Diceros bicornis minor: one gene and its partners. The protein of the gene in region 1 interacts with the protein of each later gene in a pairwise test. Links are inferred from orthologs where the notes say so. Each region holds a gene or a part of one and is shown in the gene's direction. Other genes may lie near its edges.

Region 1 (7,479 bases):
CCATTTAGTAATTCCCTGAGAGGCAGAGCTCATTAGCCAAGAGACTGGTTACACTAAAAAAAAAAAAAAAAAAAAAAAAAGAAAGCTCATTCATTAAACAAAGTACAGCATGAAAATAGAGTCCCCTTTGATCTAGGCACATATTAACTACAGTTTCAAAATACAAAATTGTAATAACATCTGCTAAGGGGTAATGATAAGAGTAAGTCTAGAAATGGAAATGTGTACATGTATTTTACATACTGTTAGAACCTCAAATGTTGGCATGGCTGTCTCCTCTTTGGGCTTTTCAAGTATATAGATATCTGCTGAGAGCATAATAGTACAAGGGATGGTGTATGTGAAATGCTGAACTGCAGTAGTTTTCCAGTTGCAATAGGAAGCCAGAGGGGCCTCCAAACTTCCATCACAGTGTCAGTCCATCCAGCTTCATTTTTATACATACACAAGGCCTTAGCAAACATTTCACTTAAAAGTGTTTAAAACCACTGTGACGAGAACACCAAAAAATGAAACGCAGCCTCTGCCTTCACGCCACTTAAAATTTAACTGGGAAAATAAACATAAACTCATAAAAAGTGGATTAGCAAAAAAAAAAAAAAAGAGAGAGAGAGAGAGAATTATCAATATAAGCATAAAACAATAAAGGCAAAAAGAATTTGAGAAGACAAATTCTGAGTTCCTAAGAAAGACAGTCACAACAGACTGAGTGGTCTGGAAAGAGGGAGAAAGCCTTGAATTGGAGCGCTACATGCCATCTGCCAGTGCCTCCACGAGGACAGGCCACCTTTGCTGTCCTGGTGAACCCTGATCTGACACCTACCTGGAACCCAGAACCCACTGGTACCATCTTAACTTTGACGATGTCCTATATTGGCTATTACTTGGCGGTTGTGCTGTTGGCCCAGGGATGCTTTCGATAATTAATCATTTACAACAGGTTGTTAAGTGGCTGTGGCTCATTCCTAAAGCTGAGGACAATAGTACTGAGAGCCACTTGCGAGCACCAGCTATGGTGACCAGCCTCCTTCTCACAGACCTACCTGAGGAAACGCAACCGAGCAAATACAAGTGTCTCCTGCCCTCCTGACCCCTGACATGGCCACGGAATCCTTCTCAACTACTGCTCATTGGTAGCTATACCAATTGAATGGAGTTGAAACTTAAAGTAAAACTGTGAACTATATGTACCTTCTCACATAGCTTTTCAAGTCTTATTGGATCCACCTTCCCTAGCTGAACCAGCCCTCTGGCCTTGACCAGTATCTACCTTAGCCTATGATATACCTTGGGCCACCCTTTTCCATGTTCTTCTGGAGCAGAGGTTTCAGTTAGGGATGTGTTTGGGGATGGGATGACACAAGCGGTTGCAAGGAAAGGAGGAGAAGGCTATGAAGGCCTAGAAGGACTCAGTACCTGGCATACTTCTGGAAAAGTAGGTTTGTCAGCACAATACAGATCTGCTGATCACAATCTCTGGACTGGGGCCTAGGAATCTGCATTAAAGGGGTACTTGCCGTGTACTTAAAAAAACCTTTTTATTATGGAAAATTTCAAATAGATACAATAGTAAAGAGAATGTGCTTATCACCAATCCACAACCAATCTTGTTTCATCTATATCCCTACCCACATCCCCCCACTCCTCACTCCACTGGATTATTTTGAAGAAAATATTTCAGTATGTATTTCTGAAAGATAAGGACTTTAAAAAACACAACTACAACACCAATACTTAAAAAAAATTCCTTATTATCATCAACATCTAATTAGTTTTTGTTTCCCCAATTATCTCAAATTTTAAAATATTTGTTCAAATCAGGATCCAAATAAGATCTCACACATTGCATTAGGCTGCTATGTCTCTTGTACCTCTTAAGGTCCAAACACTGGAATAGACCAGGGGAGGCCTCTTGTGTTTAGGGCAGTTGCTGATAGAAAGTCAGACTAGAAGCCCCCTGGGCTCTGATTCTCATCGTAGGACCATTTCTGATGTTTTCAGAGTAGAAGACTCAGTGCTCAGGCCAGACCAAGACAGTTTTTTACAAACTTGGTAAGATCTTCAACAACTGGATGAGATGAGAGAGCTACAGATGCACCTTAAGAAGGGCACACAGGTGTCCTGAGAACGGCATGGGGAATGGTTTGGTGACTGTGTCCGGGTCATGGGATTGGGAACAATCTAAAAAGCATTAATTCGGGGTATTGATCATATCTTGCCCCTTTAGGTAAGCAATGTGTGCGAAAGTGACCAGCACAGTGTCTTCCACATGACAGCCAAGGTGGTTTTCATCTTTTCTCCCAAAGCCTGTAACGGGTCATTTCCCTGATGCATGTGAATCTCAAACTGATGCAAATATTTTCAAAAGAAAAGGAGGCCTTTGCAAGTGACCCAACTTTCCTTGTCCTTACTTAATCATAATGACTCTAAGAATGACCATTTGTTAATGACTTACTGAGGGCTGGGCCATGTGTCTAGCACGAGTGGTACACGGGAGAAAACCACTAGTTATTTGTTGACTGAATGAACAAGGCTACTGAATGCTTTACATTTAAACCTTCAGAGCAACTGCCACCACCCTGTCGCGGCGTTTCTGACTATCTCCATTTTACAAAATCATCGTAAGAGCTAGGACTTATTGAGCTCTTAATCTGTTCTAAGTGCTTCATGTATATTATTACCTCATTAACCAGCACATCAGCTTTATGAATTAGGTACTATTATCCCCATTTTACAAAGGCACAGAGTTTAAGTAATTTGTCTAGAACACACAAATTATGACTGACGGGACTTGACTGAAATCTGAGCAGCCAGAGTGATTAGCAGTAGTAATGGAAGGAGAGCAGGCCAGTACCAACACTCCCAGTTATAGGTTCTTCACAGGAACAAGACCAAAAATGCAGGTTCAGAGGTAACAGAGGTAACCTCTGTCTATTGCAGATCCCCTCACCTCTTCCTGTCACCAACTTTGCCCCTTCTTCCCTTTGGGTATGGACAATGCTGCTGGCAAGACACGAAGCAAGAGTTAAATCAAGAAACCTCAGAAATCAACGGGATGGTTTTTGGGGCAGACTGACTGGTTTAGCTCCTTTATTTATTCATCAAACATTTATTAAGCACCTCCTTTGTGCAAAACACTGTTAACGTGCTAGTGTATGCGCTCCCGAGAACAATCCTGAAACTTCCAGGAGACGGACGGCAGAAGGGGAGTGCTGGCTTGTTTGAGAGGTTCTCGCACTTTCTTCTTCCTCAGGAAATGTTCTATCCCTCAAGGTGGCAGGAGCAGCAATCTTCATTCTCAGGACGCACAAACCTGAGAATGAAGAGAAAAGCATTGCGCACAGAGCTAGACTGATACCTAGGGAGATGCGTCAGAAACTTGGGATTCAGTCCCCCAGGCCCGATCATGTATAGGCTGGCTTTCTAGGTAGAGAAAAGATAATAGAATTTACAGAGCCAGGAGCTGAGTCCTCCGGTCGGGCAGACCCCAGACTCCGGCCCGCAACCCCAGCAGGTTTCTGTGCAAAAACCTTTTGAGATGAATGCATACGTTGTCCTCTAACAATGCAAACGTGACAGCTGCCTATTCAGTAATCGTTCCGCCTCCGTTTAGAGCAGTTCGTGCCACAGAGGCATCTTCTGCGCTATAGTTATGCAACCTCACTCGCAGCGGGAGTTATTTCCTGTGCTTCTGGCTGCGCCAGATTCATGTAACACGCCTACCCCGGGCTTCAATGGAAGTCGTTCTCCATTAACAACCACTCTAGCTTTCAGAGATGAATGCCCTGCACCGCATACCCCTGGTGCAGTAAGAATCCAAGGTATTAAAACTCTGTCTCTCTCTAACACACACACACACACATACACACCCCAACACGCACTCCCGCTGTGCCTGCAGCTGGGGGACTGCAGCAATGCAACCAGAGGGACAGCAGGCGGAGCTCTCTTTGTACAGTCCCTCCCTCTAACCCCCACCAACTAAAGATGAACTCATGCCAGTTCCATTCTTTGCTCTGCAAGGAAAACACACATACACACAGACACACGCGCGCGCGCGCGCGGCAGAACAGTGTAGCCTCCAATTTTCTCCTTGAGCACACTGTCATTCTAGCCTCTTCGTCCAAACAACCCGGATATTCTAAAACGAGTAACGGGGAGTAACGCGCCGCAACAATGCAAGCTCCCAAGCAGCTCCCCGTGCAGCTCACACCCCCGCCCCCTTTCGCAGCGTGCCAAGAGTTTGGAGCGCGCGCACGCACACCGAGCACGGTGCTGGCGTATCCCTCCGCCTCCCTCCTCCTCTCCCCGCTCGGTGGCTCGACAACGATTTGGGAAATGAAGGGAGGAGGGAACTACTTTCCTGAAACTTGCTATGCTGCACACGACTTCGAGTTGCAGTGATTCGCCCGGAGGCCGCAGCTTTTAGTTCTCCTACCCACGCGCCCTCACAGCGCGGGCACCCCGCTCAGCAACCCCACCCCGTGCCCGCTCTGGCCCCGGGGGAAGCCGGCGTCCGGGAGAAGTTGCCAGGGACTACTTCGCCGCCTTCTCCCGCGGGCGCCCCCGGTTCGGGCAGCGGCGGCGGCGGCGGAAGGAGCGGGCGGCGTGAGCGCTTCCGCCGCCCCCCTCGCGGCTCCCCTCTGGCGGGCGTGAGGAGCTGGCCCGCCGAGCTCCGTGCTGGTGGGCACGGCTGGAGGGGTCCTGCGGCCGCTCTGCCCGCTCTCCCGCCGCTTCTCGGCACCCTGCGCCGCGGGCGCGCCCGCTCTCCTCCGGCCCGGGTGGGGGCGGTCGGCTCGCCTGCCCCTGCCTCCCGCTCCCCGCCGCCCCCTCCTCCCTGCTCTGGACTCGTCCGGGCTGGAGCGTGTCTGGAGGAATCCGCCGCCGTGAGGCCCCTCGCCGGTTCGGCTCGTTCCTGAGGACCGCCCCGGTCGCCGCCGGGGGCTGAGCGGGCAGCCGGCGGCGAGGCGGGAGATGGTGGGGTGGGCTCCGGCAGGACCGCGCCGCCGCCGCCCGGAGCCTGGGCTCGGCACCCCCCCGCCGGCCCCCACCGAGCGGAGCTCTGCTTCCTCCTCGCCGCATCCCTGAGGGAAGCGCCGCCTCTGCTCCCGGGTTCTCCGCCCGCCCGCCCGCTCCTTCCTGGCCGGACCCCGCCGCGCTCCACCCCAGTGGCCGGAGGAGCCGCTCTCCAGTCAGCCTCGCAGCCCCCCGGCCTTTTTTGCTTTCCACCCACCCTCCTCGCCTCCTCGGATCCCTTGGCTGGGCGCTGAGGCGGGGGAAAAGGCTGGGGTCGCCACGGCGGAGGTTGTTGCCGCCACCCCCCTGCGGGGGTGGCCGGGGTTCCCGGCTGGGGGGGCACCGTTCCGGGTGAGGCATCCACCATGGTGAGGCCCCTGAGCCGCTGCCCCCGCGCCCCCCCGGCCGCCACTGCCTCCTGCCCCCCGGTGCTGCTGCTGCTCCTCCGTCTGCTGTTGCTCCTCCATCTCCAGATCGGATCACGGTGAGGGAAAGATGAGCGAGGAGACGGCGACTTCTGACAACGAGTAAGCGCCTCATTGATCCTGATTGCTAGCCCCCCGCCCCGCTTCTTTCCTCAGCACTCCCCCAGACCCCTGGAGACTTGGGTGCCGGAAAGCTTGCAGCCCTGGAGAGTTCGGTGCATCTTGTTGTGAAGATAACATTTCATTTCTTGAGCCATTTTATTTAATGGCAGCAAACCCACCCCCCACCCCCCGCGTTTAATTGCTTTCTTCTGGGGGAGGGCGTTGAGTGTTGGGGTGGCATGGCAATTGTCTGTCCAGGAGATGGAGCAGTGTGGATGGATGGAGGCGGGGTGGAAATTACCCCTTTGCCTGGAAGACCCCTGGCCTGTCCTTTTTCTCCTTAGCATACCAATCAACATATCCTGAATATCCGTCCTGCTTCCTTTATAGCTATTTCACTTGGAAACTAATGTGTGGGAGCACCTTCTGCAGCAAACTGCTCTTGAATCTTAATTCGATGAGTCAGTGACTCTTAAATACCGATTAAGCCTCCACCCCTTCCCCCCTTTTTTATACTTAGGACCTGTAAGATTCTTGTAAAAAATGGGGCTAGGGAAACATTTTTAGAATTTAATGGCATTGAAGACACCTGGAGTGTGGGAGATGGCGAACTATTATATTTTACCTTCGCGAATACTGGACGTGTCTCTATCAGGAGCATAGAAGAATTTTGAATGCTAATGTTTATCCTTCAGCTATATTGAAACACACCATTTACGTTGGTATAACAGTATTTACATTGCTGAACAAGTTGATGACTTCATTCATTAACTTCTAGAGCATCCCGGTTTAAGCTTTTGTTTATTTGGGCTGTCCTTATGTTTTTCAAACGAAATACTTTGCCTTTTAAATGTTTTGCTTTAACGTAACAGCTGCTTGGGGGAATAATGATGCGGTAACAGTTTTCTATTGAGATGGGATTTAATTCCGTGCAGAATATTAGCATCCTTTTTCTTGTAATTAAGTTCAAGTTTTGTTTATCTTGGTAGGGTTGGAAAGAGTTAAGTGAGTTAGGACTAGTCCTAGGATGCATTCCTTTAAATAAAGTGCATTCCTCAAGTCTGGCCGTTTAGAGAAAACTTGAAAATCCAAAGCCTAGGCCTATTTAACATAAAATAGCTTGAGAAATGCCAAGTAGCGTTTCTCTTGCCCGCCCCCCACGCCCCCCAACACACTCTTCTCATGAGCGGGTGTGGGAGAAGGTAGATTGCTGCAGTGTCAGTGCAGTCTAGAAGCAGAAGTGGCCGCCATGTTCTCTCTCTTTTTGTGAATCGCCCTCATTTGCATAGCACACTCTTCATTCATAAAAAAATAATTAAACATCCATCACCTTGGACATCTTGAAAGAATTTCCCAAGAAAAAAATTCGAAGCTTGACTCTGTCTTCATGTAGATTTTTGAGTTCAGGAAGTAAGGAGAATTCGAAGTTGTAGGTTAAATTCAAAAACATACGCACACACAAACAACTACCCCTGTTCTCAGAATGTTGACACAGTTATGTGGGAAATATCAGTTCGGGGAGGTGCTGGGATCACGTGATTGCCTCCATTCATAAAATACCTGGCTGTCCATTCACAGTGCAGTACACTGTCTCATTGCCTTCCGCAGATTAGACCTACTTTGAGAGAGATCAAGAAGTATCTCAGATAACGCTGAGTTAGGAGAAAAACTGCTAAAAATCCTGAACGGAATGACGATAGTTTTTCCTGGTATCTTTAAAGAAAGTAGCCTGGATCAAAATGTCAAGTTCTGTTGTAGAGATGGGAAAAGATTCGTTACCATATTTAAAGTAAAATATTGAATACCTCCTTTTTGGATGCAGCTAATAGAAAAGCAAATGAGGGAATGTGAATTGACAGGTGTAAAATATATTGTTTCTAAATGGGGTCTTTTTGTAGTACTTGGCATGGACAAATTGAGAGTGCAAGTTTTTGGTGTA
Region 2 (7,231 bases), on another chromosome or scaffold:
ACACCTGCTTTAGGTGGGAAAGGCTGCCCTGGTCCTCGAGTGGGAATGTGGGCAAGGAGGCCCGTTGCTTCCTTCCATAAACCTAGGTAATTGACCTGTCATATTTAAAGTTTTATTGGGTAAGATTCAAGTTAGGACTGGAGCCCTTCTTTTGCAGTTCCTTCAGGGCTACATGTGGAAAAGAACAAATAGAAAACTCAGTGATAAGTTCTGAATAAGGCTGTGAGAAATGAACAGTTGTCAGCCCCTGTGGTCTCAAGGAAGACTTAAGGAAAGGGAGTTGTTTAAACACCTAAAAACAGAAAGGAAATACAAAGCTCTTCCATTTAGTATGTCAAAACCAGCTCAGAAGTATGTGACAGTCCAGAAGCATTACAGTTTCTAGCCAGTCCAGTCATGCTTCTCTGGCAAACTGCACAGTCATGGTTATGATGCATTGGGAGGAGAGGTGCTATATAAATGTCAGATGTTACATAAATGTCAGCAATGATTATTGTTTGTCAATGGGGGCTAAACTGTTCCTAAGCAAAGCTCCAACTCCCAGCCAACATGTCCTTAGCAGAGGTTCTAACCACCAATAACCCATGAGAAGGGAATGCTCACCCTTGGTTCTAGAAAGCGGCCCAGTTGGGATTTGGGATTTGAAAACAGGGGTTGGGGTGGTGCCAGTGCCACCACTTGCTCCAGTGACTTCAGGCCAGCCCCCTAACATTCTGGAGTCTGCCTTAGCTCACCTGTAAAATGGGGATCATTATAACTTGCGCCCTACTTCTCCTTGTTGTGCTGGGTTGTGAGAATTAAGGGAGTTCGCATGGGTGCGAGTGCTTTGTAAAGTGTGAGCTGCTGCAAGGATGACAGTGCTCGTCTAGGTTCGGCTGGAATTTAGCCCATGCCTTCCCTTTGAATCCTACTCATAGGGAGAACATCTGAATGGAAATTAGCTTAAGCTGGGGATGGTGATGGTGGCTGGCCAAGATGCTGAAAAAGCCAGGTTCCTTCTCTCACGGAGCTGTCAGGAAGATACTGCAGACCAGGCGCCCGGATCCTGAATTCTGGCTCTGGCTCTGCCACTTGCCAGCCTGTGAGCTTGGGCGAGTTACAGACTAGGCTCTGGAAGTGATCGCCAAGGGCCCTTCCGGCTCTGACGCGGACTCTAAATCCGGCTCACCACTTGGCTCTAGCTGTGATTCACCTTGCGCCTCCAGGAGCAACTCTCCCTCCAGCTTCTCAGACGCACGGAGCAGGGGTCTTGGAAAGGGTGGGGGCCGTGTATTCCATGTGAGTGTGCACAGTAAAGAAGTCATGCCTTTGGAGGTGAAGTTATGCCTTTGGGGTGGGGGCCGGTGAAAAGGGGTGTCGAGTGAGTGCTCTGAGAAGCCAGGATGCAGGGAACACTGTAATGAGGTCACGGCTGTCGCAGGCAAAAAGGAGCTGGACATCTGCTGGTGGGGGAAGGGGGGAGCGTCCTGCATTTGTTTGCAGAAAGTGTCTTCCCGCACCCTTCAGCATCCCCCTCCCCACCTCTTCCCTAGCACTCATCCCCACACCTTTCACACGCTGCCAGGCCCTGTTCACAGGAAAGCCCGTGTCCGTGCCTCCTCTGTGGTCCTGTCTGAAACCATGAGGATTGTTTCCAAGCTGACTCACACCACTAATGTCAGGGAGCCGTGTCACACGGCGCTGGGCTCTGCAAGCTGTTGCTTGCGCGATCCCAGCCGCCGCCGCCGCTCGCCGGCGGTGCACCGGGGTCCGCTTGTGGGGCGGGGCCGGGGCGGGGCCCGCCCCCTCGGCGCGCCGGCCCCGCCCCTCCCTCCTTCCCTCCCCCGCGGACCGCAATGATTTAGAAGTTCAGGAATCCCACGTGACGTCACCGGGGGGGTGATGTAATGCACTCTAAATAGAATGTATTGTAATCTTTGCTCAGTCCAACGTGGTCCCTTCACCCGGGCTCCGCTGTTGCCTTCTCCACACTTGTTTGGTAAGTTCCTAAAAATACGGCTCGGCCACTTCTGGGGCTTTTGCATTTAGCCACTTTTGTTGCACTTGCCGCGGGAGCCATCTCGGGAGCGTACTTGTTTGCAGGGGTTGGTTGTCGGCAGCAGTCGCGAGGTTACTTGGTCCAGTGGGCAGGTCACAGGGCAAGGAGTAGGGAAGATGCGATACATTTTTTTTTGGAGGGTGATCTGTGTTTGTAAACACTTGGCGGACCAGAGGGAAGTCCGGCCCCCAATGCTGGTGGACTGTGGAATTCTGCTGTGTCCTGAGGCCACCCCAGAGACCCCACGCCGTGTCTGTCCCGGAGCGCGTCTCGGTGGCCGCCGCGCCGTGCGACTGGAAGGATGCTAACGTGGAGCGAGCGCCGTGTCCGCCCCGGCGTCCGTGCGTGTGTGGGAGCGCGCGTGTGTTTCCCTGACACGGGGAACAGTTATGAATCGGGGGGGTGTGTTTGCCTCCAGAGACCTGGCAAGGTGCGGAACCCTCCAGAAGTGCGGTCAAGCGGCGGCAGTGGCGGCGGCAGCGCAGACGGCGAGCCAAGAACCTCCCCTCGCGTCCCCAACTTCCCGGTGATGCGGCGGAACCCCGGAGAAAGTTCGCAAACTTGCAGCCGGCGCGGCGAAGACGCCGGGTCACCTAGGGGGCGGGCGAGCGGGCGCGCGGGGGGCTCGCTCCCTGCCGGGTGTCGAGCCTGCTGCTGCCACCTCTCCCGCAGGGCTGCCCGCCGCAGCTGGTGGGCGCGCGCGCCCGGGAAGGGGACGTCGCCCTTGAACGGCACTTGGCTTTCGCTCCAGGCGCGGAAGGCTCGAAAGTGGCGAGGCTCTACTCGCGTTCACTCCTCCAGCCGCCTCCTGCCTCCGTCCGGTTCTCGCTGGCATCATTACCTCTTCCCCGCCGCTGCCTCAAATGACAGCTCTCGCTTTTGCCGCGGCGGCGCGGTGGCAGTTTCCAGGAGCCGGCGGCTGGAGCCTTCCTCTCTGGCAGGTTCTCCACGGAACCGCTTAAACTTTTCGCGAAGTTCTCAGAGCGGCAAGACGTGCGAAGGAACCAAGGAGATGTTTTTTCTCGGCATCTGCATCCCGCTTCTTCTTTGCCATAGATTTATTTCCGGGGGCGGGAAGGGGGGTGTATCTGGTAGATAAAGCCCCAGACCTTGCCCACCTCCTCCCCAACTTTTCTTGAACGGGTACTGCACTCACTTGATGCTTGTTCAAGGCCAGGCACTGGAGTGGGTGCTTGTATGTTTCGTTGTCGGAGTCCGCAGAGTGTGCTTGATTTTTATTTTTCCCTCCCTCTCTGACATGTGTCAAGGAATAAAGGCTGGATACAGGTCCATTACGTCATTCTGCAGGCCAGTAAGTGTTTGATTAACAGCTTCAGATACTCAAGGGTTCGGGGGCTTAGAAATGCTGACAAAGCAACTCTGCTTTCCATCCCCAGCCCCCAACATACTCGTACAATTGCCTGTTCCCTGGGCATCTTTATTGCCCTCTCCTCCCGGACCCCTCCTTCTCCACTCCCTCTCCCGCCCGCACCGTTATCACTCTGGCCCCGCCTTCCCCTTTTACTGCTTTCCCTGGGGCGATCACTGTCCCTGGAGTGTGGGTAAGAGCTTCTGGCGTCTGAGGGGAGCACAGTACCTGATCAGCGCACACACAATCTGCCCTGTTCTATTATTTAAGGAAGGCACCAGCAAGCCCTCTTCTCTAGGGCGAAAATGCTCAGCCCTGATAGAAAAGGCATCTTAGGAAATGTTTAGAGACGTTATGATGATACTGTGTCCCTGTGGTGACTTAGGAAAACGACACACCCACTGCAAACAAAGTGCTTAATTCTATAGAGCGCCTTCCTCCAACCGTTTAGCCGAGGAGGGAAGACGAAGGGAGGATGCTGACTAAATCAAATTTAGCTGAAAGGATCAAGATTAAACGTTTCATTTCCAAAGTGAGGGAATGTGAGTGTTTGAACTCAAAGTACCATACAATAAATTGGTGCGTGTGTTACTTTCTTTCTCTTAACCTTAAGTTTCTGTATTTAAAGAGGATGTTAAATACATAAGTCACTGAATTGAGTCAGAATCTGCGTATCTGGCAGTTGAAATAACAACACTGTGTAACATATTTAAGGGATAAAAATAAAAAGAAATCTTAGTAGTGGGGGTGAGTGTGCAGCAGAAATCAAATAAAAAATTTACTAACAGGGTTTTGGATGGAGGGGGGTCAGAAGATTTGGGTGCTTTCTGATTTGGAGTTAGTGAAAGCTAAATAAAGGAAAATTTATGTTCTGAGTATGTGGGAATTTCTTGATGAACACATGTCTTGTTATAATCAGATCTACTTTCTTCAAAATGAAAGCTGTGCTGTAGAGTAGGCATTTGTGAAACTCCTGCCTGGGGTCTAATTGACCTCCTTCCCCAAGTTTGTGGCAGTATTTACTATTTACTAACATCTAGAGGTGAAATACTATAACCCCACACAATCCATGTGCATCTAAAATGTGAAACATCTTGTTTGTGATGCACAGACCTAGAGGAAAAAATGGCCCGGGTCCCCGGCACTGGAGAGTGTGATTAATGATCAGTGATTTAGTGATCAGTGATTAGTGGTTTTATTCAAACTGTTACCTCTGACCAGAAGCACACATCAGAGGATTAACAGGCTCTTTAGATAAATGCTCATTAGTGGAAGGGGAAAAGCAAAGATAATAGGCATGCACCCAGGGACAACTTTCGAAGAAAATCATTCCCGTCTTCAGAATAATAAGCTCTATTAAGAGAAAGCCCTTTTAATTTAAAACTTGCTTTTATCTTGTAAATCAAAGTTAGATGTAAAAGTTTGTAGTGCCATTATAACCTAAATTTTCCCATATCCACTAGATGTGGATTATCTCAGTAGCGATATTTTTTTTTTATTTAAATAAACAATTGGACCTTTAGAGCAGCTGAACCCTGACAAGTTCTTAACTCCCAGGGTTTGAAGGTGTCCCCCCTTCTAGAATGGAGAGTGCAACTTGCTAACTAGATGGCGCACTGTTATTTGGTGTGCTGTGCTGTGTGGTGCAGGAGTCTGACGGAGCAAGTAGCTGCTTGCGAGGTGTTCTTCAACACTTACAACAAAGTTGATTCTGTGTAGGGTTGGAGGCTAGACGGTTCTACAAGTTTTTAGTCACATTTTCCATGTCAGTTAAATCTAGGGTGTTCAAGGCTACTGGAAAAATTAGTCTCATTACTAAAAGAAACTTAGGGAGCGAGGGAGGAAAGGAGGGACAGGAGTCTAAGAGGTACCTTTGGGTTGCAGAAGTGATTGTAAAATACCAGATCTGTTCTTTTTTTTACTAAGAGCTAGTTTCATAAGCTTGTGGTCTGAAATCCTGAGGCAAATACTCAAAGATTTATTTTCTTCCTCATCTTGCTGGTGAAAAAGGAGTTACTAGAAAGAAAGGAAGAAAAAACTTGATTTGGTGACTGCAGGAAGCAACACGTTGCTGATTTTTTTCTACAGATAATGGTAAGATGATGTTTACTACTCTTATTAAGCAGAAAGGGAACTTTACAACTGGTTAAATGAGACCAATCTTGTATTTTCATAGATGCGATTTGGAAATGGAATTCTTATTTTGCACTGAATCTTAATGTTGCTTTTGTCAGTTTCCTGGGATTTGGTAGCATTTTGTGTGGAAGGTTGTCTGTGTGTGTGTGTGAATAAGACCATTATTTCCCTGGTAAAATAAGGTTCATGAGCATGTGAACGGCAGTGGGGGAGCTACGAAGCATGTTAAATAATGTGTCAGGTAAGAATTCCTTTTTCTACGAGCTTTCATGAATCACTTCAATAAGTACTTAAGTTTTAGTAAGGAAGGCATTCTTAAAAAGAAACCTAAAAATTAAAAATCAAACAAAAAAACCCCATTCTCCACTTCCAAACCTAGATGTGTATTCCCCCGAGGAAGGATGTTATTGAATCAATATCAGCTATTACTTGAGTTTTAAAACTTAGAAAGAAAACAATGGATGAACTTACTTGTGCCTCCCTATAAATTTTTTCATTTTCCTTTGCTTGTAGCGTTTTATATAGATCCATTATTTTTAAATCCCGACTGATTCATAGCAATTTTTATTTTTCAACTTTACTTAAACATATTTGCTCAATTCAAGCCAACTGTTTTTAATGTAAATTGCTGATATCTTAAATTGCCTGTCAATTGGAAGTCAGTTGTGACCTTATATAGTTTATACATGAGCAGATGGTTTATTAGAACATTCCCACAAAAATGTGGAAACAATGCCTTTATTTCTATCTCTGTAATGTTGCAGCTTTTATTTGAATAGGTGGCTAAAGGAATGGTAGCTTGTCAGACTTTTCCTGTATAGCTTTTCAAATATAGTAAGTTGAAGATTTTTGTTACAACTATTTGTCAGTTTCCCACACCTGTAGATTCAAAACGAATCAATCATGGACTTTCCATGACTCTTTGTGCTAATATCAAGTTCCTGGTCTCCTGATTTCTTACCATAATTTGCTTTTTAGTGACAATGCATCACCATCCTATTGTATTTCCTTCGCATTGGAGTTTGCTGCTTATTAAGCTGAAAATTATTTTGTGGGAGTGTGATGTTTGCTGGATCCCAAAGATGTGAACTTTGTATTTGTGGTTGGTTTTCTTCCGTTTGTGTTGTTAGATTAAAATTGAGGATGTGTGTGGACTTATTATTTTTGTCATCGTTTCTTTTTTCTTCTTCTTCTTCACTTCAAAGCAATGCTGTTAGTCACAAAATTAATGTGATCATGGCTGGTGTTTCCCATCTATATGCTTCTTTTGCTTCTTACAAATTGGATTTCTACAGCAATTTAAGATCTTTTTTTAGAGGCAGATTTCTTGGATGAAGATGGAACAATGATCTCAGTCAATTCATTATCTTGTCCAGTTTGACTACCAGCTGTATTATGGGAATCAACCAATGCTTTTATAAATTAGTGTTTAAAAATTTAAATCTAGGACTATTTCTCTGAATCCTACTTAAGAAAATTATACAACTGAGATAAGATAATAAACTAAGGGGAGGGGGGAAATAGTCTTAAATATTTAAGTGTGAGAAAGAAGCACTTTCGGGTATGCTAAGCAGACTTGAAGAACCTTTTTGTGTTGCTATTTGTAAACTAAATAAGCTATCTATTTTGTGGCATTGCTTTAAATAGAAACTCTGGCACTTTAAAAATGACATCATGTTTAATGTTTT
Region 3 (6,513 bases), on another chromosome or scaffold:
TGAACCCTTCCTTTCCCCAAGTCTGGGTTCCGTTGTCTGAAGTGGGTGCAATGGCAGAACACAGATAAACAAAACAGCCTGATGCTATTCCAAGGAGGAAGAAGGAGGTTCTGCCTGTCTCATGTAATCCACCAAGGGACATTCATTGAACATCACTGTGTTCCAGGCAAGGCCGTTAGGTCTCTGCAGGGCAGGTCTGTGCAGCCACAAAGGGCAGAGTGGGAACCCGTGTAGGGGAGCTACAAGAGGGCAAACTTAGGAACAATAGGAAAAGCGCTTTTCTCACTGTCTGAGCTGCTCCGATGCAGACTGGGTCATATTGGGGGCGGGGATAAGTTCTTTGCCATTGAGCAAAGAGGCCTGGAGAACTTTTTCTGGCTCAGGCAAGGGTTTAATGCAAAGGCACCTCCCACAAAAGTCCCCATTCTGGAACTCTAGAGCACCAAGCGAGAATCACAGAGCTCTGGACTACACATTTGTGGGGCTCAACTCCACGGCCTCACAGGGTCTACTCGTGCTGAGCAAAATGCTGAGCCCATGCTGCTGCCTGTCCACTGTCCAGGCTGGGAGAGGCTGATCATAAGGAAATGGCTTCAGCTAGGCCCAAAGGCTGATTAGAGCTGCGTCAGCCCAGGAGAGAAGAAAGGATATTAGGGGTGGAGAAAACAGCTAAGCAAATAGGTGAGGTAGGTCCTGGCTGTGAGAAGCCCAGCTTGGAAGGAGTATGTAGTTGTGAGGGGAGCAGTGAGAGGTAAGGCTAGACAGGTGGACACCGTGACACCAGATTCTAGAGGATTCTGAAGTTTGAGGGGGCCCATGGGCATGGCCACCTCTAACCTCTATTGTATGTCTGGGCAAAACCAGGCAAGACATTCCCTGGGAACTGAGGAAACAGAAGAAAGGCTAGCCCTGTGAGGCCGTTGAGCCCCACAGGCATGGCTTGGCAAGTAGTGTCCCAGCTGGATTTCAGCCACCTCGGCTCTGCCCCTGGCTCTGACTATGGGGAGAGAGAGGACATACTGAAGGTTCCAGGAGCACTTCAAAAGAAGGAACAATGGGACTTGGTGGCAAGTTGGACCTAGGGAGAGGGGAAAACTGAAGGTAACCAAGATCACATTTTCCCCCTGGGACGAGGGAGGGAAGGAAGGGGGGATGGAGAGAGAAGGACCACCACAGGTTGAGGGGGAATCTGGTTGTAGATGTGCTGCGTCAGAGGTGCTGGTGGGTCGCACAGAAGGGTGGCTATTTCCTGGGTGTCAGACACTATGGCCTAGAGCTCAAGCAAGATAGTCCCACTAAAGCCAAGAGGGAGATCAGAGCCGTGGTTTTCCCGGAAGGCAGGTGGGAGTGGGGAAGGTCTATACTCGACAAGAGTAGCCATGATTTGGAGAGAGTGGTCCAGGCAGGTGGCATGGATTCAGCCTGGTGCTCATCTAGATCTTCCACTGGCCTGCTGTGTAACTCAGAGCCAGTTTTCTCCTCTCTCTGGGTTCCAGTTTTCACTGAAATAAGGAGATGATATTAAAGCACACTGCCAGCTTTGCCTTGCCAATCTAAGAACAGTAGAGGGAATGAGGAGAAATGAAGGGGGAGGCATAGTCCTTGGTGGGCCTGGGACCAAATGGGGCTGGGAAGAGGTATGGCCCCAGGAAAGAGGGAATTGTGGGAAGGCAGCACCGAGCAGGGAGGAGAAAAGGGGCAGAAGGTGAGAGCCACACAGATACCGTGACACACACACACAGGCTGTGCACGCTGACAGATCTGCAGTCTCATACATTGACAGGTTCCTCCCACACACACTCAGCTCCTTACACAGACACTCAGGCACATCCCACAGGAGACAGCGGAAGAGACTTTGCCTCCCCCGTCAGACACCTCCACCTATGGGTTCTCTAGCTTTCTTGACTATACCCTGAGCCTTCAGTGTCCTTTGGACTTGGGGAGGGGCAGCTGGAGATGGAGCCTGCCTCCTTCTGTCCATGGGTATTCTAGAGGCATCCTGGACTCTGACTCTAGTGCAACTATTCTGGACCCCACAGTTCCAGGTCCCTAAAGATGGCATGCCTTCCCTTCCTGGGCTTCTCCTGGGGGCATATAGGATTCCTCATCCTCTGGGGGTGGTATTCCTCATCCTCTGGCGGTGGTAGGTAGAAGAGGATATTGCCACCCCTACTTCTCCTTGATTTTCCTTAGGGAAGAAGCAGAGAAATCTCAGGCCCAGAGATATCCTGTAACTAGCTTGAGGTCACACAGCAAGAGAGGGGGCATGGAACAGACCAATCTCCCATCTGGTTGTTTAGGGCACCCCCAGAAGTAAGGATTAGAAGCCACACTGGCCTGGGGTGGGCTGTGGAAGTGGAATTCTTTCTGCTAGCCTGAGGACTTCCTTTTCCAGAGTATCTTCATGACAGGCTACCCTGGGGTTGGAGTCTGGCCCCCTCCCAAAGAGACTCTAGGCAGGTCAGAGTCACCTCCCAGGCCATGTCCTGGGAAACTCAGGCTCTGGAGGGACATTCCTCCCATGGAAGTCAGACAGGAGCGTCCACCCAGGCTTCAGCGCTTGATGGGGCATCATCCCAGCCAGGCTTCCTGTGGAAGACCAGCACCTCCCTCTGCAAACACTTCCCCTGGCACAGGCCACTTGAGGGGCTCATGTTCCAGCTGGGGACTGACCCTTCGTCCTCCCCAAACCTACTTCTCAGCAACACCACCTCCATCCATTCAGCCCCAAATCTTAGCGTCTGCCTCAACTCCTCTGTCCTCTCATCCCCACATCCAGTCAGTCACCAAGTCCTGCCAATGCCCCCTCCTAACATCTCTCAGTCCATCCCCATCTCTCCACAACCCCTACGCTAGCGTCATCACCTCTCACCTGAACTATGCAGCAGGCCCCTCTCTGCTCTCCCTACCTCCCCTCACTAGGTCATCTTGCACACAGTAGCCAAAGGAAAAATTTTAAAACGCATTCCTTCTCTCTGGGTCCCCAGTACCTAGTTCATGACCTGACATACGGTAAGCATTCTGTAAGTGTTTGTGGAATGAACGCTATCTTCCTACCCCTTGCTTTAAAACCCTAGGAGCTTCTGTCCCCATCAGTGGTACATGGCCTAGCACACAGTCAGCCTCAATAAATGCTCAGGGAATGAACTAACGAAAAGCAGAGTGTAATCAGTCATCAATGCTACCAGCTAGGATTTCTATTTGTACAGAGGAAGGAGGGAGAGAACCTTCCTGCTGGGGTGGCCTGGAACGCCTTGAGGAAGAACTTGGGAGATGTGTCCCCGTTGCCAGGGGGCCACAATGAGGACCCGCCTTGGGTCCCAGGTAGGAGAGGAGCCTGCAGAGGTGGGTGGGGGCTGAGTGTGAAAGCTCTGAAGAGTAAGGAAAAGATTAGGACTCTATTCTGTGGCCAAGGGGAGCTATGGAAGGTGTAAACAGGACAGGAGAGGATAAAGATTGTAGCATGCAGCCCCGACCACTGAGGAGGAGGAGAGCTGAGACCTGGAAGGCTAGAGATCCTAGGTGCCAGGAGAGGAAGCCTGCTGTGAGGGGAGGGAAGGGGCCTGCTGTGGGTGCAGGGTGCTGTGAGGGGAAGGGACCCTGCTGTGGAGAGAGCAGGCCCCGTTATGGGGGAGTGTAACCAGGGGAAGGGATCCCCACTTAGGTGTAGGGGAGAGGGGCCGGGAGGGGAGGTAGGAGCTCCTGTGGGAAGGGGTATTGGGGAGGATGGAGCCCAGCTGTAGGAAGGTACATGTCCTTGGGTGTGGTGGTGAGAGGAAGGGGACCCACCCTACTGTGGAAGGAGGGATCCCAGCTGTGGGAATGTGGGGTTTGTTATGGGAGGGAGCTGTTGTGGAGAAAGGGAACTCTGTCCTCAGGGACTTGGGCGACTGCTGCTGAGGTGAGGGCCTTGCCCCAGACCAAGTTGAGGGAACCCCCTGTCCCCCAGGCCCCGCCATGGGGAAGACCAACAGCAAGCTGGCCCCAGAGGTGCTGGAGGACCTGGTTCAGAACACGGAGTTCAGTGAACAGGAGCTGAAGCAGTGGTACAAGGGCTTCCTGAAGGACTGCCCCAGCGGCATCCTCAACCTGGAGGAGTTCCAGCAGCTCTACATCAAGGTGGGCGGGCGGGGGCGGGGCCAGGCAAGCCCAGGGGCGGGCCGGACGGGCGGGGGCGGGGCCAGGCAACTCGAGGGGGCGGGCCGGACTAGCGGGGGAGGGCCGGGAAGACACCGCTACCGCTGCGTCCCAACCCTGCCGTCCCCGCCTCAGTTCTTCCCTTACGGCGATGCCTCCAAGTTTGCGCAGCACGCTTTCCGCACCTTCGACAAGAACGGCGATGGCACCATCGACTTCCGGGAGTTCATCTGCGCCCTTTCGGTCACCTCCCGCGGCAGCTTCGAGCAGAAACTCAACTGGGCCTTTGAGATGTACGACCTGGACGGCGACGGGCGCATCACGCGCCTCGAGATGCTGGAGATCATCGAGGTGCGCTGGGGCGGATCCAAGAGGCCAGGTTGGGCTGGGGCCGGCGCCCTTGTCTTCGCTGCCCACTCTCCAGCACGCTCCTCAGGAGCCTCCTCTTGCACCCCACTTCTCCCCCCATCCCGCCTCCTAGGATTGGTTGGGCGCTCAGTGTGAAACAGGCTTTGTGCTAAATGCTTTACCCAATAACCCTATGGGAGGTAGGTACTGTCAGAAACCCCATTTTACAGAGGAGGAAACAGAGCAAGTGGTGATTCGTGATTCAAATCCAGGGAGTCTGACTCCAGAGCCTAAGTTCTCAACTCATTACTCTTCCAGCAAATGTGTACTGAGTGCCTGCCACATGCCAGGCACTGTTCAAAGTTCCTGCTTTCATGGGACATTTCTTCTAGTGAGAAAATTTAAAAACAACAACAAAAAAACTATGATATGTCAGGCAGTAAGCATCATGAAGAAGATAAGCAAAGTAAGGGGAGAGAAAGCGATGGACGAAAAGTGATTTTATATAAGGTGAAATGTGAGCAGCACCCTGAGTAAGGTGAGGGAGCTAACCACGTAGATGTCTGGCGGAAGAGTGTTCTATGCACAGGGAACAATAAATGTGAAGACCCTGAGGTTACATTGTGTTTGCAGTGTTCAAGGAGTAGCCAGAAGGCCAGGGTGGTAGGAGAGAAGTGAGAAGGGGATAGTGGTAGGAAGGTGATCAGCTAAGTAGCCAGGAGCCCAGTCATTTAGCATCTCATAGTCTGAGACTTGGACTTTATTCTGAGTGAGATGGGAAGCCACTAAGGGCTCTCTCTATTCTCTGTGTGGAGAATAGACCAAGGGGCTAGGAGGGCAGCAGAAGCAGGGAGACCAGTTAGGAGACTGGTCCACAGCAGTCCAGTCAGGGGCCGATGGAGGTGACAACCGTGGAGGAGCTGTGGAAGTGGTCGGAAGTGGTTGGGACCTATTGCAAAATTAGGGCTGACAAGATCTGCTGAAGGATTGGATGTGATGTGAGAGAAGGAGAGTCAAGAATGGCATCAGGGTTTTTGGTCTGAACAACTAGAAGAATGAATTTGCTATTTACTGAGACAGGGAATGCTGGAGGAGGAGCAGGTTGGAAGTGAAGAGTTGGGTTTTAGATATGTTTAATGTGAGATGCTCATTAAATATCCAGTCTTAATGACCATACATCACCTTCCGGTATCCTCACCATCTCCCAGTGTTCTCCCTGCCCACCCCCCCAGGCCCTTTCATTCACCCCTGATCCTCCCTGCCCCCTGTGAGTGTTCACACCTCCCTCCTTGCCCCACCAGGCTATATACAAGATGGTGGGCACCGTGATCATGATGCGCATGAACCAGGATGGGCTCACACCCCAGCAGCGTGTGGACAAGATCTTCAAGAAAATGGACCAGGATAAGGATGACCAGATTACGCTGGAGGAGTTCAAGGAGGCGGCCAAGAGTGACCCATCCATTGTGCTGCTGCTGCAGTGTGACATGCAGAAGTAGAGGCTGGTGAGGGGCAGGGCCTCTGGCCAGGAGGGGTGTGGCCACCTCCCAACCTGATGACCTCTCTAGCTGGCCCTTCCCCAGGGGGAGGGGTACTCCAGCCTCACTCTCTGGCTCACCCAACCCTCTGCCCAAGCCCTTGCTCCCCTCAATCAAGGTCCTTGAGGGACCACCTCACCCTGGAAAAGAGACAGATCCTCAGGTATCCTGTTGTCTAGCCCCATCCCCAGTCTTGGCCCAGAACCAAGACCCACTGGGCATAGGGGAGTTGGCTTTTGCCCCAAGAGGCAGGGTTTAGGAGGGGGGCTGAGGTTCTGCTTTGAAATTCTGTTCTTCCTGGGGTTATGCTTTATAGGATTGGTCCTATAGACCTCAGTTAAAGGGCCAAATTGGGTCTGTTCTTTGCTGAGGACCCAGATCCCTTAAAGGTGGTCTCTGCCCTGCTCCCTTGACTCTACCTGGCCCCTCTGGCCCCAGCCTTTGGAGCATTTATTCAGTCCTTTCTTCAGCTAACGTTTATTGAGCACCT
Region 4 (7,818 bases), on another chromosome or scaffold:
CTTGGGGATTTAAGGAATTGTTGAAGAGCCAGTACTTAGGCTTGAAAGCTATATTTTTCTTGGTGGTTGACTGTCCTTTCTTTTCTGTCTTCTTGGCCTGTAAGCTGAATGGCAGTCTCATTTGTGGTGCTGGCTTTCAAAAGCAAGTAAATAGACACAATATCTTAAAACACATACAGCTAGTGTGACCCAGTGCTATCCTGATAAGCCAGCTGTGGGGGCAGGAGTGCGGAGGGCAGAAATCCTCATTTGTAGCATTTGTCTATTTCTGTTGTGTAAATACTTCCATGGCTCACAAAATTCCTGACTACTTAACCATCAGTTCTCATGACTCCAGCACACCACTAATGACCTCAAGGTTGGTGCCTGTCACCTTCGGCTGCCTGCCTGTTAGAAGGATCTTCCTAGCGAACTGCACTTCATTCTGGTTGCCACTTGACAAGAGACCTAGAGAATGTGTTACAGGCTGCAAGATGAACTACAAAGCTGAAGAAATGATCAGCTGCTGGGGCCTGGGTAAGCAGGCAGGAGAGAGCCTCCTCTTTACTTGCTCTTGTGGTGTTGGCAGCTCTGTAGCCAACAGGGGGCTAGCAAACATGGTCTCCTCTATCCTGAGCTAGTTTTTTTTCTTCACTCATTCTTACGGAATTGCAGACAAGGCAGTTGCCTGAACATGCAGGAAGGAAAGCTATTTTCTTCTTTCTTTAGAATGCCTTGCCTTGGCCCAAACCAAGGATGTTTTGAGGCCTAACTGAATGCAGCAAACCTCTGCCTCCTATCAAGGCTACTGGTTACTTGAGCTTTCCTCCACGTTCTACAAAAGTTGCAGGACCGGGTGTGATGGGTGCAGTAGTGGTAGCCTGGCTGGTAGAAGTAGACATGATGATGATGAAAATATTACTCCCCTCTGATCATGGCTCTGTGCTTATGGACATTTTGGGTAATGTTCTAGGAGAAAATCAGTATACAATAAATCCTTCTAGTTTTCAGATGAATCGAAGATGAGCTGAGAAATGCCAAGGGCATAGGGAGAAAGTACAAGGAGGGTCTCTGGGAGATGCATGAGGGTTGGAAGGCTGGTGTTGCCTTTCACAGTGGATAAGAATAAGGTAAGGAATTCAGGGCGAAATAGTCCAAGCTATACATGCAAAAATATTGGCTTATGTTCTTCTAAGTTAAAACTCAGGAGGAGAGTTCTGGAGATGGGGCCCTGCACTCTCAAATGAGAAAAACCTGGCCCTATGTATTAGTTTCCTCTGGGTGCTGTAACAAATTACCACAAATGTGGTGGCTTAAGACAACACAAATTTGTTATCCTACAGTTCTGGAGTTCAGAAGTCTGGGATGGGTCTCAAGGAGCTGAAATCAAGGTGTTGGCTCTGCTGTTTTCCTCTCTGGAGGCTCTAGGGGAGAATCTGTTTCCTTGCCTTTTCCCGCTGCTAGAAGCCACCCACGTCTCTTGACCCTGGGATCCCTTCCTCCATCTTCAGACCAGCAATGCTGCATCTCTCTCTGACTGTTTTCTGTAGCTCATATCTCCTTCTGCCTCTTCTTCTGCCCACCTTCTACTTTTAAGGACCCTTGTGATTGAGTTGGCCCACCAGGATAATTTAGGATAATCTCCCTATTTAAGGCCAATGGATCAGCAATCTTAATTCCATCTGTTTCCTTAATTCCCCTTTGACATGTAGGGTAACATATTCATAGGTCCTGGGGATTAGGACGTGGCTATCTTTGAGGGGCCATTATTGTGCCTAATGAACATATTCTGGACTCCAATCCAGCATCGTCAGAGCTGTGTAGCCTTAGGCAAGTTGTTAACCTTTTCAAAATTCTCATTTAGTGGTGGGCTAATAGTAGTACCTTCTCGTGGGCTTTTGGTTAAGATTAGATGGGCTTCGAAGGACACCACCAAGAAAATGAAAAGACAGCCCATAGAATGGGAGGAAATATTGGCAAATTATATATCTGATAAGGGACTTACATCTAGAATATATAAAGATCTCTTACACCTGAATAATAAAAAGACAATCCAGTTATAAAATGGGTAAAAGATCTGAGGAGACATTTCTCCAAAGGAGATAAGCACATGAAAAGATGATCAACATCATTAGCCATTAGGAAAAGGCAAATCAAAACCACAATGAAATACCACTTCACCTCCACTAGGATGATATAACTTAAAAAATAGCAAATAACAAGTGTTGGCAAGGATGTGGACAAATTGTAACCCCCATACACTGCTGGTGAGAAGTAAAAGGGTGCAGCTGCTTTGGAAAACAGTCAGGCATTTCCTCAAAATGTTAAGCAGAGTTACCATGTGACCCAGCAATTGCACTCCTAGATATACATCCAAGAGAAATAAAAACATACATCCACACAAAAACCTATACGCGAATGTTCATAGCAGCACAATTCATAAGAGCCCCAAAGTGGAAACAACCAAAATGTCCATCAACTGATAAATGGACAAACAAAATATGATATATCCATACCATGGGATGTTGTTTGTTCATGAAAAGGAATGAAGTGCTGATGACACGGATGAGCCTTGAAAACATTACGCTAAGTGAAAGAAACCAGTCACAAAAGACTTCAGATTGTATGAAGACTTCATTTACATGAAATGCCCAGAATAGGCAAATCTATACAGATAGAATGTAGATTAGTGGTTGCTAGGGGCTAGAGGTTGGGAGAAGGAAAGGAATGAATGCTAATAGGTATGACATTTCTTTTTGGGGTGAAATCAGTTGTAAAATTGACTGTGGTGATAGTTGTACAACTCTGAATATACTAAAAACATTAAATTGTATATGTACTTTAAAATGGGTGAATTGTATACTATATGAATTATATCTCAATAAAGCTTTTTTTGAAAAGCAGCGATCATTAAAGCAAAATTAAAAAATAGATAAAGTGGGTTTTTAAATCACTCTCTCACAGAGACACCCCTACCCCAAGCACCGCCACCTTCCTGTTACTGCCCTCCACCCATGGTTCTTCCTGCAGAGTCTGTAGGCAATGACCAACCCTAAACTGTCCTGACCACAGTTTACAAACTGATAAGCTAGGGATCCCTTGTGGCCTACAAACTCTTCTTTCTTAGCCTATAGAGTATTTAAAATATTTTTAAATTAGTTACTAACATTTTAAAATTAGAAGAGTTCACATTAAATGTGGGTTTTTGGCTTCTCTAGGGGAAAAACAAACAAAATCAAAACAAAATGAAAAAAATCCCACTTGATGGCCTCACTGGACCTTCATTTCCCATGTGGAAAAATGAGACTGCCCTTTTTAGGGCATGATGCCCTTCCCAGTTTGCCCAGCTTTAGTCACTTCTTTTTAATCCCTTAGGGACATTTGAGTTTGCAACACCTGCTCAGACCTTTCCCTGCATCAGAACTTCCTTGTTCAGCATCCCATTGCCTCTGGACCTGTTTGATGATTGACCAATCCCTGGGTTTTCAACCCTGGCTGCACGTCAGGATCTCCTGGGCCAATGTACAAAATCCCCATGCAAGGCTGCACCCCTGACTAGTTGAATCAGAATCTTGGGGAAAGGCGGGGGGATAGGCCTAGTATTAAAAAACAAAACGAAACCCCAATTCCCGAGGTGATTCCAAACTGTATCCAGGGAGGCTAACCACTGCTCTAATCTACTAATCCAATTCAAGAGAAAGTTTTAGTATCCAAAAATGGTTTCATGGCCTTCCACATAACGTTTGTTTTTCATGCTTTGCCCGAAGGAGTAATTGATGTGGAAATTGAAGGCAGAACTAAGAGGATAGTTTCGGTCAGGTGAACCTTTTACTTGATTTTCAAATTAGAGTCGATGGCTGTTTGGACCTAATTGTAACTGTCATTTCTATAACTAGTCATAGTAAAAGATTTTGTAATCACTATATCAAGCATGGACAGGTCATGGTGCCTTTTAGCTTTACTTGGTGACTTTTTATTATTTTTAACCAGCAAGTTTTTTAATCAATGAATTTGAGTTGCTATTGAGACATTCTGTGGTTTCTGGAAATGCCGCTGGGCTTGACAAGCACAAGAAGTTACAGTGGCTTTTTGAAAGGTCTTGAGTGGCCAACACAGCAAGACAGGAACACGTGCTGGCAGCCACTCGATAAATATTGGTTGAATGAATTGACAAGACATTTGCTTCTCATCATCTCCAGCTGAGATGGAGAATTTGGTGACATTCTGTAGTGGAGGCAGAGGGTGTGTGTGTGTCCCCTCCTCAGATGTCCTCCTACAGAGTTTTTTGTTAAGCCATCCCTAGACGATTCACAGAAGGCTCTAGGTAGAGAAAACGCTGGGTTAGGCAAGAGCAGCCCCCTCCCACCTCGTGGGTATGTCTTTCCAAGGCTCTCTGGAACTTCACTTCGGCATGGTAGGGACCCCAGGCTCCCCCTAATCGAAGCCTAGAAGAAGGTGCTGTAGGCTGAATCTGACCTCCCCACGACCGGAGAGGAAAACAGCACCCCTTGGAAAGTACCAGTGCAGACTGGCTAGAAGTCTGGGCGGTGGGCTAGGATTAGGGGGCCCAATGGGGATAAGCCTGGGGGCTGCACCCAAAGCATCCACTGCACCTGCAACCCCCCCACCTCAGCTTGCCCCCCTGCACCCCGGCCGTCCAGCCCACCGGGGAGAGGCTGCCTGCGGGGCCGCAGTGGGGAGGAGGGTCGGCGGCCGGAGGGGAGAGGCGGCGAGCGAGGCTGGGGAGGGGGGCGCGGCAGGCGGCGGTGCTGTCCAGGGGGAGGCGGGCGGAGGGAAGGCGCTGCTGCCGCCGCTGCCGCCGCCTCACCCGCGGCGACACAGACGCCGGGAGCGGCCGAGGCGGTGAGTCGCAGCGCCTTCCCTCCGTTTCTCCGGAGCCAGAGCGGAGTCGGAGTTGCAGCCGGGCGGGCGTGCTGGGGGCGGTGGTGCCGGGAGCGGCTGCTGGGGGGACCGGCGCGCCCCGGGGCGGCGGGCGCAGGGGTGGGCGCGAGGAGCGCGCGGTTCTGGGGACCTCGTCCTTGCAGCCGCTCCCGGGTGCAGCTCACCCTGTCAATTCCCCTGTCCTTCCCTCAATGCCTCTGAGGGAAAAGAAAACAAAACCAAAGACCCTGAGAGTGGGCGGCAGAAAAGGAGAGAGCAACTTTGTAGAGGGACGCGCAGAGGCGCGCGGGGCAGACAGGATGGGGGCGCGCTGGGTCGGAAGGGGGCGTTCGTGTGCCTGGTGGCCCGGGACCTCTGTAGCATCCCTCCCAGGGGTGAGGGGTGAGGTGGGGGATTGGGGTCGAGGGCACTCGCTGGTTCCCGGGCCTGCCAAGTCTGCCCTGAGGGGCTGCAGGAGGAGTGTGCGAGGGGTGGGCGCCTGGGCAGGGGGCTTTGGGAGCGACTGGAAGGCGCTAGTAGAACGCAGAGGAGGAAGTGGGCTGCATTCTGGACTCAGGACCTGAAAGATTTGTATCTCTTGCCCTGGGGGACTCGGGAAGGGGTGTGCTGGGGAGATGTGTCTGAGTGTTTTTCAGTGCATACCGATTTATTTTTAGCTCCCAGAGAAGCAGGATGTGCAAAGTGGGTTGTATCAACCCGGGAGGGGCAGGAGGTCTCCCTGTCTGCAGGAAATACACAAGTTTCTTGCTGCAGATGCTTGCTTTAACTTTCATGTCCGAAGAAAGAAAGCCATTTGGCTCTCTGAAGGTCTCCTGGCCAGGGCCATTTTCTTCCCGCGGGTCTGTCTGAGGCTGCAGGCCAAGCGGAGTGCGCTTCTGTTGTTCAACGCTGGCCCCAAATGATGGTACACGTTCTGTTCCGTAGGGCGACAAGGGTGGGAACACAGAAGGAGGGTTGCCAAGGTCTCATTTGCTGAGGAGGAAACCACCCAAGCTTGCTCAAAGTTTTCCCAGTTCTGACTGATTTGAAAATAACAGATCTAAGCAGCTGTGTTACCAAAAGCAGCCTTAGCGGTCGGTGTTTCTCAGACCTAATTGGCAATGCTTGTGAGGTTTTTCACTCCAATGGGGAGATGCCTGTGTTTTAGGGTCAAATGCAGGATGCAAGGACTGCAAAGGAGAAAGGGGTAGGGGTGTGATGGTGAGAGTGTGGGTTTATGGGGGGGGCTGGTTGGGGGCTAAGTACAGACTTGGGGATGGGGCTTCCTTCAGAGGAGGAGGCTCAAGAAGCTGAAACCCAAATGTTCCCGTACCCAAGCCAAGACCCCTGGACGTTGCCCTGGTGTTCCCCCATTTCAACCACTCGGCCCAGTCCTGAATACCCACCCTCTATAAGCGTGCCAGGAGAGTGGGCTGTGAGAGCAGGGCTCTGCCGCCAGACTGCTGGATTTGAGTTCTGGCCGGGACACGAATAGCTCCCAGACCCTGGGCTCCTTACTTAACCTCTCTGTGTTTCCTGATCTGTGGCACGAGATTGATAATAGGTACCAAACCTATCTCAGGCTTGTTGCGAAGGTTAAGTGAATTAATACACAGAAAGCGCTTCCCACAGTGCTTTGTCGTTGGTAAGTGCTGCAGACGTGTGAGCTCTTGTTATTCTGCTGTTGCTGTTGTGTGCTTCCTTCTCTCAGCCCCTGTTGTCTGTCGCTGATTTGGTTCACAACCTCATCACTTCTTGCCTGAATTGCTCCAATTGCCTCACACTGGGCTCTTTGGTCCCCATTAGGACACTCTTGCTCCAGTCTGTTCTCCAAGCTACAACTAGAACGCTCATTTTGCAACCAAAAATCTAAGCCAGGCTTTCTGCCTAATTTCCCTCAGAGGTTTCCTGTGGCTTTCAGGATAGAGTTCGGACCCTTGTCTCCTCGCCAGCCTCATCTCCCAAGCGTCCGCCTGTGTAGCCTCCGCTCAAGCCACCGAATCTCAGCACCTGTCATCTTCCCACCCTTCCTTGTCTGGTCAGCTCCTATGCCTTCTTCCCCGCTCAGCTGCAGCAGCACTGCCTGCCGGCAGACCTCGTGGCACCCCCTCCTCCCGAGCTGACTGAGCTGCCCTTGCTTCATGCTGGTACATCACCCTGCACACTCTGTCATCACTCCGCATCGTCATCTCCATATCAGTCTTCCCTGCTGCACGTGCCTTGAGGGATGAATTGTGATTACCAGTAATTGTTTGTTGAATGAATTAATGAACATCAGTCAAGCAAAGTTCAGTCCTTTTCACTAAAGTCAGAAACCAACATGGAGAATAATAGAGAGGAGGACCAAACCAATCTTTATATAGACTATTCTACAATAACAAACTTGGGGAAATGTAAGAAACCAAAGGTTGCTCAAAAGAAATGTGGCATACTATCTTGGAACCATTTCAGAGATTTTTTTTTAATTGTAGGGGGTTAGACTAACAGTGGAGAAAGGCAGTGGTCTGACCTCTTTCCTCACTTCCCTCATAAAAAGGTTGGACATCTCAGATTTGACTGTGGGGCATGAAGGTCCAAATCTATAAGGGGTCGTGCAGTGAATTTGGTTCTGGAGGCAGAGGTGAAGGTCGCCACATGCCTGGGCTCTGTAGCTCTTCCTTGGATTGGAGTGTGGATTTCAGCTTGCCCTGGGATTGGTACGATGAGATAGGAACTCTCCCGTCATCAAAGCTCCTCTGTTACTTTTCACACAGCTCAGTGTATTCTGTGGGTGTACTTCTGACTGAGGCTCCCAGGAGCCCTGCAGAGGTAGATAAAATGGTGCCAGCTTCTCCAGGACAGCCTCAGAGTCTGATATCAAGGCTCTAGGGCAGGGGGTTTGTACAGCTGAGAGATCAAAAATGCTTTTTACATTTTTGAAGGGTTGTAAGTAAAACAAATCAAAACACAAAGAAGAAT

Evidence for each region.
Region 2: the proteins of SPRED1 (region 1) and CREB5 interact in binary tests that used the Homo sapiens proteins (3 or more experiments, as listed by UniProt). The link is inferred for Diceros bicornis minor from reciprocal best matches to the Homo sapiens genes SPRED1 and CREB5.
Region 3: the proteins of SPRED1 (region 1) and HPCAL4 interact in binary tests that used the Homo sapiens proteins (3 or more experiments, as listed by UniProt). The link is inferred for Diceros bicornis minor from reciprocal best matches to the Homo sapiens genes SPRED1 and HPCAL4.
Region 4: the proteins of SPRED1 (region 1) and NCALD interact in binary tests that used the Homo sapiens proteins (3 or more experiments, as listed by UniProt). The link is inferred for Diceros bicornis minor from reciprocal best matches to the Homo sapiens genes SPRED1 and NCALD.

The regions. Positions count from the first base shown.
Region 1 is NC_080744.1:36,357,341-36,364,819, forward strand, and holds the start of SPRED1 (sprouty-related, EVH1 domain-containing protein 1), read left to right. Parts: upstream 1-4,466; 5' UTR 4,467-5,508; coding exon 5,509-5,540; intron 5,541-7,479. UniProt on the Homo sapiens protein: Tyrosine kinase substrate that inhibits growth-factor-mediated activation of MAP kinase. Negatively regulates hematopoiesis of bone marrow.
Region 2 is NC_080742.1:53,088,131-53,095,361, forward strand, and holds the start of CREB5 (cyclic AMP-responsive element-binding protein 5), read left to right. Parts: upstream 1-4,215; 5' UTR 4,216-5,498; coding exon 5,499-5,501; intron 5,502-7,231. Other genes in the region: uncharacterized protein LOC131399887, read left to right, coding at 1,533-1,755, 1,925-1,978, 2,457-3,137. UniProt on the Homo sapiens protein: Binds to the cAMP response element and activates transcription.
Region 3 is NC_080752.1:53,347,371-53,353,883, reverse strand, and holds HPCAL4 (hippocalcin-like protein 4), read left to right. Parts: upstream 1-3,949; 5' UTR 3,950-3,957; coding exon 3,958-4,119; intron 4,120-4,272; coding exon 4,273-4,488; intron 4,489-5,786; coding exon 5,787-5,984; 3' UTR 5,985-5,993; downstream 5,994-6,513. UniProt on the Homo sapiens protein: May be involved in the calcium-dependent regulation of rhodopsin phosphorylation.
Region 4 is NC_080760.1:20,465,345-20,473,162, reverse strand, and holds the start of NCALD (neurocalcin-delta), read left to right. Parts: upstream 1-4,803; 5' UTR 4,804-4,842; intron 4,843-7,818. UniProt on the Homo sapiens protein: May be involved in the calcium-dependent regulation of rhodopsin phosphorylation. Binds three calcium ions.